Linked DNA regions of Xenopus tropicalis. The protein of the gene in region 2 interacts with the protein of the main gene of each other region in a pairwise test. Links are inferred from orthologs where the notes say so. Each region holds a gene or a part of one and is shown on either strand. Other genes may lie near its edges.

What was found.
Region 1: the proteins of lzts2 (region 2) and trim29 interact in binary tests that used the Homo sapiens proteins (3 or more experiments, as listed by UniProt). The two-hybrid records come from large-scale screens. The link is inferred for Xenopus tropicalis from reciprocal best matches to the Homo sapiens genes LZTS2 and TRIM29.
Region 3: the proteins of lzts2 (region 2) and hspd1 interact in binary tests that used the Homo sapiens proteins (3 or more experiments, as listed by UniProt). The two-hybrid records come from large-scale screens. The link is inferred for Xenopus tropicalis from reciprocal best matches to the Homo sapiens genes LZTS2 and HSPD1.

The regions. Positions count from the first base shown.
Region 1 is NC_030683.2:79,151,390-79,155,146, reverse strand, and holds the start of trim29 (tripartite motif-containing protein 29), read right to left. Parts: upstream 2,670-3,757; 5' UTR 2,442-2,669; coding exon 1,902-2,441; intron 1-1,901.
Region 2 is NC_030683.2:29,764,627-29,768,373, forward strand, and holds the start of lzts2 (leucine zipper putative tumor suppressor 2 homolog), read left to right. Parts: upstream 1-911; 5' UTR 912-1,069; intron 1,070-1,130; exon of another isoform or gene 1,131-1,151; intron 1,152-3,747. UniProt on the Homo sapiens protein: Negative regulator of katanin-mediated microtubule severing and release from the centrosome. Required for central spindle formation and the completion of cytokinesis.
Region 3 is NC_030685.2:46,530,163-46,533,819, forward strand, and holds part of hspd1 (60 kDa heat shock protein, mitochondrial), read right to left. Parts: intron 1,935-3,657; coding exon 1,682-1,934; intron 777-1,681; coding exon 694-776; intron 1-693. UniProt on the Homo sapiens protein: Chaperonin implicated in mitochondrial protein import and macromolecular assembly. Together with Hsp10, facilitates the correct folding of imported proteins.

The DNA.
Region 1 (3,757 bases), about 49 Mb from region 2:
TTATATGAGAATAGATGAATAGTCACCCAAAGGTTTAATACTTAAAATGACTACTATCAATAGACAGGGTGTTTTTGTTGACAGGTCCTAGCATAAGCAAGTTTTAACTACCGAACCAGGACAGGACAAAAGTTTACATTTAAGGTAAATGTTTTAATTTTTGTCAGATATTACATTCCAGAAATCTAGCAGAAACCTAAAAGACCTGAGAAGAGACTCATTAACACACTGTCAATGACTTCCTTTTCATGCTTGTTGCACACTGTTCCCAAACCTGCCCAGGCGTGGCTGAGGTGACGTCAGTCTATCCAATATGCAGTATTAGCTGCAGGCAATTCCCCTGTCTAAAAGATGCTTAGGCACACCCAAGGCGGGACAGCAAACCAGCCATAGATTTAAAGACATTATAGAGGCATGCAAGAAATGTTGTAATTAAGAAGACGCCCATAGTTGTCGTGTTCAGACAAGACTTCTCCAGAATTTCAGCCTTTCACTTTAACCCTTTTAGAGCACTAAACATCAGCAAATGAATTGTAAGAGGATTTTCCTGCTCAGCTTGCTCAGTAACTGTTTGGTTATTTGATACTTCCACTTAAAGGGAAAACATTTTTAAGTACAGGCAGTTTGTATTCTGATATTTCGCACATTCATACTGGTATGGGATCCATTATCTGGATACGGGATCCTAATATAATTTTGTGCACCAGCATTTACAGCTCCTAAAAATGTAGACATTAAAATTAGTGCATCTTAGGCCCCGTCAAGTGAAACATCAAGTTTTATTGATACAGAACAAAAAGAAATCAGTCGAAATAAGCAAATGGCATCCCCTTTTTTAGAGCTTTCTGGATAAGGGACTTCCAGAAAATAGATTCCATACCTTATAAAAGTTCCAGTGAATAACTGACTGAAAATATTTTTTCAGTTTGATGTAGCCTGACAGTTTTCATCAAGTTATTTTAGCATTCAAGTTAGCATTAAATATGGAGATTATCAGGAACCTAATTACTAATCTGCAGATTCTATCCACAGGACTATTTGTATTCAATTTCAAAGTTTTTCAATCCTCATATAAATCCCCTAAGTAATCATTATCATTGTTATTTATTGATAACGGGACACTTTATTATAACTTAAGGGAACTTGGACATAATAAATATACCTAGTACATGTTTATCCTTCTTAAAAATAACACTGGTCATGCATAAAAGAGCATGAATGTTTTCAGCAAGCTGCGGGTAACAATATTTCTGTGCAGAAGACAACAAAGAGTGAAAGGAATATTTTCTTTGTGAACCATAAATCTATGCATGGTGCTTATCCATATTTACTTAGTTTTAGCTTTTTTTTAATGTATTTAGTTGACCTTATGTTGGACTACAAGTCCCAGCATGCTTAAACATGCTTATACCTTTATTTTGTAATTATTATATAAAAAGAAATAATAAGGAGAGTCTCTTTTCTACTTCTCTTATTTCTCCTTAAAAACCTGCTTTGCATTCAGAAACAAACCAACATTTTGTAGCATTTTGTTATACCATCATCTATTTGACTGAAGAAAATGTAATATCTAATGGTATTATTTATATCCAGTCTTTTCTCTAGCACAAGTACCTTTATACTTATGTCATCTGATAACTTTAGGACCCCTATCCTGCTTACCAGTTTGATGTCAAGGGGCTATATAGGACATTGCCTAGTAAACTCTTCTTATAATTCTTAGCCCAAACATCTTGCATCCACACACAAAAGATAAAAGGTGGCCATTTCTTTACAGTATTAGTAATTAACAGTTTTCATGGTAGATGCTTCCTAACCTGTAATAGTTTACTTTACATGACTACTTTTCCATAACATGGATTGCACATATGCAGTACATATGCAGTACAAACAATACTCACCTCCTTAACGTACTTCTCAGCCTCTACAGTCACTGTGTTATGATTCTTATGCTCCTGGAACATACAAAGGTAGCATATGCAACTTTGGTCAGTTTGACAGAACAGCTCCATTGTTTTGCTGTGGAGCTGACATTTTCTGGCCTCAAAGTCTCTAATGGGCTCCAATAGCTTATGGTCACGAAAAGCAGCCCCCTCCAGATGGGGCTTAAGATGGGTTTCACAGAAGGATGTCTGACAGACCAGACAAGACCTAACAGCCTTTTTCTTGTCATCAATGCATGAATCACACAGAACATCATCAGGTTCTATGTTAGAGCTAGTACTTGTACGGCCAGAGCGCCGGATTTCAGGGCTCTCAGAGCCAAAACTCACTCTGCCACCCTTTACCCCTCCAGAGCTAATGTTGGTTTTCAGGATTGTTTTTGTGCCTCCTTGATCAAAGCCAGGTCCATTCTGAATGTCCTTCTCATCAGTAATACTTGTGTCATTGGCATCTTCAGAAAATGAACCATTGGATTTTTTAGTGTCTTGTTCTTCCATTATTACGTTGTCTGGTCTTTGAAGTTTAGATCTTCTCTTCTAATTCTCTGATGCGTGTAACCCTCTTGAGATTCTTTTAAATGAAAGAATAGAGAACGAAAGCAAATGTGCTAAATAGCTACTTGTCTGACTCACACCTTTCTGCAGAAGACACTCGATTCCTATTGGAAATGCTAAGCAAAGTAGATGTGACAAACAGAGATGTTGCAGCTTCAGGTAAGGTTACACAATCTGATCCACACCCAGGAAGCCTTAGGAACATTCTTGCCCTGCCCTCTTTAACAGAAAGAGACCTCTTTTTTAATTATTTATCATAGTGGCTGTAACCTGTTCTTCAGCTTGTGCTTGTGGACAATTATATTTTTTTTCAACATATCCTGAAGGGTAAAAGTACTAAAGTTTTTCATCTAAAACTTTGCAAATGAATATTTAGTACAAAACAATTTTGCTAATATATATATACAGTATTTATATGTATATATTTATATATGTATACAGTATATATATATATAGATTTATTTTTCATTACCAGATAAATGTATACAGCTGAAAGCCAAGTGCACCGGTTACAACTGATGTAACTGTTTATAAGGATAAAATTTACAGGATATTCATGGTTTTTGTATATGTGTATATATACATGTATATATTCAAAAAATAAAAAAAATGTTGTTAGCGCACTCCATGGGCTTTTCATAAAAATGCAATCTTTATTTTAACATTGCCATCCGATCAACGTTTCATACAAAGTTCTCTGTAGCTCAGCAGTTATTGCTTAGTCACTGCAATATCAGTATTCATCTCTGAATAGAATGGGAATATTTGCCAAATTTAAACGACAAGGAAAGCCTGTATTTCATTCTTTCCACATGACATCTATCCATAATTCTACTTAGTTGCTATATTATTTCCTCTCAATGGGCCTACGTAGTTGCTAAATTATTTCCTCTCAATGTGCCTCCTTCACTTGATGTAAGCTTTAGAAAATGTTCTATCGCACTGTAATAGCTACAATCATTTATTGTTGTTAAGTGTTATCAAAATGGCAGATGCACTCTTAGGATGTATCAGCCACTATTGCCCTGCCCACTGACTCACAACATCACACTCTCCCCAGGCAAGCGGAATCAGGCAATGAAGAAACAATCATTGCTCGGCACTGAATAATTGTAATACACAACATTAAAAGTGCTCCAGATGATGTTCATGCTCCAGATTCCTGTGCAGAATTGCATTCTTGGTCTTTTGTAAATACTTTAACTGTATAAAAGTCTTTAGTGGTGAATGGAATACACTCGGGTGCAGGCACATGTAGC
Region 2 (3,747 bases):
ATAAGTTGCCCTTTACCTCATAAGAAGGTACGAGAGAGGTTTGTTTAAACAGAGGACTTCTCAGTGGACTAAGGGCTGGCGTTTTAAGATGCCGAGATTCAAGATGCCCTTCAGAAAGAGGTGGCAGCTACTCTGTCCGAGCACAACCTGGCATGTGTCCTCCCTGTGTGTACTTTTGTACATTGTAAGAATGTACAGCGCTGTGTATCCTTCACCAATACACTCCCCTTAAGGGCCAAACAATCGGATCAAAATGGCGGGGATATGGGGCGTGAAGGGAGGACTAAATCAATTAGCCAATGTGGTCATTGCTTTGGCAAAATATTACATTTTCTGATCAATATCTGCCAGTTGTTTGGGTAGGCCCATCAGAGTGCCCCATACACAGTAGATACTGTATGTAGGCAACTTAGACCTAAGGATCCAAATCTGCCCGTTTATGGCACCTTTAGGGTGGCATTAATTGTAAATCCAACCCTGTTAGGCCCCCAAATTTCTTTCAAAGTGTTGACATTTAAAGTCAACTGAATGTATTTTTGTTAAAGAAATCAAAAATATAGATACTTTTACTGAGGGATTTTTAGGTTTGAGCACTAAAATTTCTGTCACCAACAAAACAGAGTCCCTCGGTACAGTAGTTTTGTGTTTGTTTTGCCCCTGCTGCATGACACGGCTAATGAGAGCTGGGCTAATGAGAGCTGGGATCATGATACGGCTACAGACTGATAGCTCAGTAACCTCACTCCCTGCACATTCCCAGCTATGGGGCCACTGAGAGGACATGGGCAGGCAGTGGGCTGGCCGCGCAGGGACTGCTGGGAGGCGGAGAGATTCATGACAAGGGGGGCGGGAGTGAGAGAGGAGTTAGGCAGGAGAGCAACATTTTCAAACTTAATCAGTTTTGCAGGAGAGGGAGGCAGCCGTGGCTTTGTAAGGGCAGTCGGGAGAGGGTTTATGTGTCTGCAGAAAGAGAAGCAGCTGCTAATCACTGCGCAGCCGAAAGCATTCTGCTCCTCTGCTCACTTGGGGAACTTGTGCGCATTGTGCAGGATGGATGGACCCAGGGAAGGTAAGGGAACTTTATCTGTGGGATGGATGGACCCAGGGAAGGTAAGGGAACTTTATCTGTGGGATGGATGGACCCAGGGAAGGTAAGGGAACCTTATCTGTGGGATGGATAGAGAGCACTAAATGAATGGGGCAGTGTGGGGAAAGCCTGGCATTCTCCCCTTCTTGTCCCTGTTCCTCTCAGACCCCGGATGTTTAGTTTGGATTCCCCTGACAGTTGTGTATAAACTTAGCGGCTTGTGGGGCAGTTTCACTGCTCCTCTTCCCTGTGTGGGACGAACCATTTCTGTTTGGGGGGATTTGCAGAGCTTTTTTCACTTGATGAACTGTAAAATCAGCAGCTTTTATTTCCTAATAGTGAAATATAATAAGCTAAATAAAACTAATGCAGTGTTTTCTTTTCTATTTAAAAAAAAAATATATCTCTTTCTGGTGCACAATTTCCTGCATTATATGTAATTAAAAATCAGCTGTCAGTGGAACCATTCACTTTTCTTTGCTATTTGCTTTTTTTCTGGATGCAATAAATAAAGGAAATACTTGCATTGCACTCAGCCCTTGGCCAAGCGTTGTGACATATCTATATGAAAAGGCAAATGTGCTTGTCTGATCATTTCGCTTCCCCTTGGAGTGTGGGAATAATAATGGGGTTCTTATATAATCTGGCAGCTGGGGATGAGGATATGGAATTTGCTTGGTGCCTGTTACTTCATTGGACCATTTCTTCCAAATTATATCATCCGTCAGTTTTGGTGCAGATTTTAAAACAATTTCAGTGAAAGTGTATACAGGAGCATTTGCTTGATTCCCAATATGTGTGATGTGGGGCTAGATGCCTCCATATTGTCTTAGGTTAGTGCTACTTTGCATTTGACAAGGAAGGGTAAGCTGTATAGTTTGCACTTACCACTTCCTGTTTTATCTTCCTAGAGGAAGTGAGGAGTGCAAAAGAATACAGCTACCCCCAGATTGTTGAAAATATTAGGATAAGAGAACTGTTAGATATCCCTTGCAGAGTAAAGGCTGACTGAGGATGCTCACAATTACAGATTGTTGCTTATTGAGAGAATAGTAAAATGATTGGTTGTAGGTATTTGTTCAGTCCATGTTATTACAGGGATAACATATTTTTGGGCTTCATAAAATAGGATTTTTGTAATGGTGTGTGTTTGTTGCATGTTTTATATTGTCTAATACCCAGTACTGCAGTTGCCATACTACTTCCCCTGCCAAGGCATTAAGACATGATATTATATAAATGTTTATTGCATAATCCAGTCAGTGTGCTGTAACTGTGCCACCCAGTGGCCATGCTATCAGGGATGGATGCAGAATGATCCTTTGGCTCGACTGAGCAATACGTTTGACATCTCTGTCAGAGAATAGAGCACCCATGTTTCAGCTTAGTCAGCAGGAATGGCTCTTGTTTTTGAGGCTTTATAACTGATCACTGCAATAGCCCTTTATGGCTTAGAATTGTGTGTCTGTGGTATATTCCATGCTGTTTTGATGTGCATGTTACTGAGATTGCACAGTGATGGGGAAATCTGCAGCCCTCCAGTTGCTTTTGAACTACAACTCTCAGCATCCTTTTGAAGTGTAATTCATATGAGGAAATACAATTACACTGGATTCCCATATACATAGTTCACTAAATGAAGTGCTAGGGCTGTGGAAGTAATAGTAGTGAAAATCAAGCTTGTAAGCCTTTGCTGACATTATTCCGTGTCGTATGGAATGAATAAAGCTGGGCTTATATTACATTCCTCTGGGTTTTTTTGTTTTTTTTTTGTTTTTCCAAAGAAATTTGATAAAGCTTCTCTGAAGTTTTGTTAGAATCACATACAGTAAGATGAGCAGTGATAAATGAAGCAATTTGAGGCTTGAAGTGCACAAGCAAGAAATTCAGCCTCATTTGGTTTTGGGGCTCCTGCTCCTTATCCATGTAGGAGGTAGTTTACCCCCATCTGTTTAATGTAAGAATATTGAAAGTGATGTGGAACCTCGTGGATTTTCTTACAGGTTTTGGAAATCCAGTGTGACTTGAATTAGTGTATGTATTCCTTTTAATAAAAGTTTTTTTATCAAATCGTGTGGTGCAAGTTTATATATATATATGTATATATATATATATATATATATATATATATATATATATGTATGTATATACAGGTATGGGATCCATTATCAGGAAATCCATTATCCAGAAAGCTCAATAGCAAATAGACTAAATTTATTTAAAAATGATTTATTTTTTACTCTGTAATAATAAAACCGTACCTTGTACTTGATCCTAAGATATAATTAATCTTTTTTGGAGGCAAAACATTCCTATTTGGTTTTATTAATGTTTTTGTTTTTTTTTTTAGTAGGCTTAGGGAATGCAGATCCAATAGATAATAGATCCCATACCTGGTTGTGTGCGTATATGTTTACAAATGTTAAAGGTAAATATATATATATATATATATTGCTAGGTTTTGGTATTTTTAAATAGAAAATATTGTCCCCTATATTGTAATATATAAGGATTAGTGATGGCGACTGAACCTAAAACTGCTCTAACCCAACCTGACTTGACATTCCCCCATCACTTATATAATTACTTCCGACCTGTCCATCTTGGATCTTGGACGTTATGTGCAAAACTTGAAAGGGTAATAGACATTACAGAAAAGT
Region 3 (3,657 bases), on a different chromosome or scaffold from region 2:
TGCCTTTTTGGCCCAGCATATCTCCTGCAGTCTTACTTGGTCATCTAGATCTTGCCTTGATATAACTATTTCCCTAAACTGTAATTTCTTAATTACATTACAGACAGTGGAAGTTGTATGCTGGAAAGTTTTGCAATCTTTTTATAGAAAACTTTGTAGGCATTTACTTAATTTTCATATCCTCACTGTGGTTGCTTAGAAGAATCCATGGTTGATTAGTAACAGCCCAAAGTTCGGCGTGTCAGATTTTATGAAGTTCTGCACTTGAAAACACATGACAACTTCTAATGGCTATAAAAGGTAATTAGGCCAGGGATCTTGCAAAAACAGAGTTTATTACTGGAAAAGTGTAAGGGTCTCCAAATTTTGCACATGCTTCAGTTACTATTTCTTTCTGTGTATGTTTTTTTTAACATTTGAAAATATGTTTTGGTTGTTAACTCACTGATTTCTGCAGTAGATCTGTTGTGCTTCCCTATTTGCTAATAGGTAATTTTAATATAATAAATGAATTTACCACCACTCTTTAATCTTTCATCCCATATATTCAAGGTCAACATTTCTTCTGTTAAACTATATCAGATATTTTGCTAAAATCAATACATGCGCTGCAAACAACCCCCCCCCCCCCCCCCCCACCAGCCAAAAACATAAAAAAAAGTAAGAGTATTGAACTTTAGCAGGAAATATTACCTGAGCTATCTCTTCTGGTGTTGTAACAGGTTTTGACTGATTTTTTAACTCTTTGATGACCGCATCTACTGCCATCATTACACCTAAACAAGTAATACAAAAACGGAAATGTTACTACATACATACTATATTATATATATAAAAATTATGTGGTTAGAGATCTGTTTCTAAATATCAGTGGTTAATAAACCGAAGTCTATGTATTTAAACGTATCTAGAGGTCACCTGGGATATGCAACAAAAGGCACCAAATTAGGCAATGTGCAGCAACCCTTTATAAACCAGTCAGCAGAAAAATGTACTGGTCACACGCTTTAAATTTTATAAGGGTTACTGCAAACTTTGCACCTTTTATTACATAAGGGACGGTCTCCTAAAGAGTTAGTGAGGGATAGCATCAGGGTTCAGTACTCGTGATGTGTAAGCAAACAGAGAAGGAATGAATAGAAGTATTTAATACATCTGTCCCAACAGAAACATCATTTGCAGATATTATCAGAAATGCATTTCAGTAGTTCCATTTATAGCTTTACTTTGTTCTGGAAATAAATATAAAGTTATTTAGACTGCCATTGTGCTTTATGGCCTTGGAGCTCTTTGAGAGAACCGTGAAGGACAAACCATCATTCATTCCGTCACCATTTTGCATTGAAAGGAAAAGAGCAGTGGTTGACACTGGTGATGAAACGGTTAGCTTGATCAAGTACATGAGGTTAAACTTTACAGATACAGGTCTTTCTTTAACTTCACTTTCTATGTTTCTATGTAATGTTTTGGCACACATACAATCAGTGCTGTCATTTTAGTGGTGATATTGTAAGAGTAAAATCTGGGTTTTAGTATGGTATCTAAAAAAGTTAACACTAAATGCTACAGGACTTGTCAATACCCATTTCAGTGGAAAATAATGGTGTGCCAGAAAGCAAAATTTATGTTCCGTTAACGTAACTTCTGCAATCCAAAGGGAAAAAAGGGGTTTCAAACTTACCTCTTCTAATTTCTACTGGATTTGCACCTTTGCTTATCTTTTCAAAGCCTTCTTTAGCTATAGACCTTGCAAGGACAGTTGCAGTGGTTGTTCCATCACCTGCTTCTTCATTTGTGTTGTTAGCTACATCTTGAACTAGTTTGGCACCTATGTTTTTGTATTTATCTTTCAGATCAATTGCTTTTGCAACTGTTACGCCATCTTTGGTTACTTTTGGACTTCCCCAGCTTTGTTCGATAATAACAGTTCTTCCCTAAAAAGACATTTAAAATAAAGAGAAAATAACAGTTGTATTCCATGCTCAAGAAGTTTATCTTCTGTGTTAGCAACACTACTGCATATGTGCAGTAGAGTTAACCATATGGTATTTGCATAAACATCAGGATTCTGAAGATTTGTCTCAAAGGTGGGGGGGTGAATTCCTTCCTGAATAAAGAGCAACTGGACCAATCTCTGGATCAGCTGGGTGCATTTCAGTAACTTTGTATTAAATTGCTTTCTAAATAGGCATGCAACCCTATTTTAAACTGTCTAATGTACATATGCTTAACAGCTCACTTTTAAAAACACGAAACCCCTTTTTGAATCTTACAATGGAACCTCCATTCTTTTAAAGCCCTTGCATCTCCTCAAAGGATCTACTGGCAAATATGTATATTTTTATACAGTTGCCTTGTATAGTTAGATATTGTAATCATATTCCCTATAAAAGTGAGGGACACCTTTGCACAACTCTGAATTTAAACAGCGAGTGTCAGCAAAAACATCTCAAATTATCTTTTAGAACAATCTGCTGTAAAGATAAATACCAGTGCAGCAATGAAACCCAGTCCCAAAAGTTTTTCTGTTCTGCCTGTGTGACGTGCAGACGTTGTATGCAAACACTGACACATTACTTACAATACCCTTCCAATAAGGTCATTAGTGAAGAAGTTAAATAAAAGTGGACCCAATACAGACCCCACTAAGAACCTTACTCCAGGTAGAGAATGTACCATTAAAGGACAATGAAAGGTTAATATAAATTAAAAGTAAGTCTAAAGGCATTCTTTTTAAGTACTTACTGCATATCTAAATTCCCAGATCCCGGCTTGTTTCTCTGAGATATGGTGCTGGCAGCCTACAGCAGTGTGAAGACTACAGTGACATCACTGAAATCTCTGTCCTTCCTGTAGGTGCCAGCGGCAGCCTTCCTATTCTCTGAGCATGTGTGTAACTTGATCCTGTCTGCTGTTCTGAGCTACACATGCCCACCAGCCAATCAGAAGCGGATCTGGCAGAGGGGAGGGGGGGGAGGGAGTGAAACACATTGCAGTATGAAGCAAGGAGGGAAAGGAAGGGAGAATACCTTTTTAGAGATGGCTGCCTGTTCTAGACAATGTGAATTAAGTGTGACTGAGTAAATATTTGATTAGGTGAGCCAAAAGTGTGGCGTTTTTACTAAACAATAGGAGTATTGGGCAGTATGCTTTTTAAATTTTGACTTGCATTCTCCTTTAACAACCACCCTCTGTTCCCGATCCTGTAGCCAGTTTTCTATCCATGTGCAAATGACTTCACTAAGACCAACAGACCATAGTTTAGAAAGCAGTTGTTTCTAACACTGTATCAAATGCTTCTGTCAATGCTGATTTAGGAGTCTCTTAAAAATTTCTGTTTCAGTTGTGCAGTTTAATTTTTTTATCAACATTTTGTTAAAGATTTCATATCATACATTTATCTTGTAATATACTAGCATGTAACATAAGTAAATAAGAGAACAAAAAAGGCAGCTACATACAGAGCAGCTTAACACATTACACACTAGAAAGAAAAAACTACCACAAAATTCAAGTACATATTCTTCACTGCCACTTTAAACAAGTCCTAGCTTTCAAGAGTATCTTCTAGTATAATAGTGTAATACTAGCTTATACTCAACTCAAATAAATATTAGTAGGTGCTAAAATAGGTATTGTCCTAAAAACATACAACAT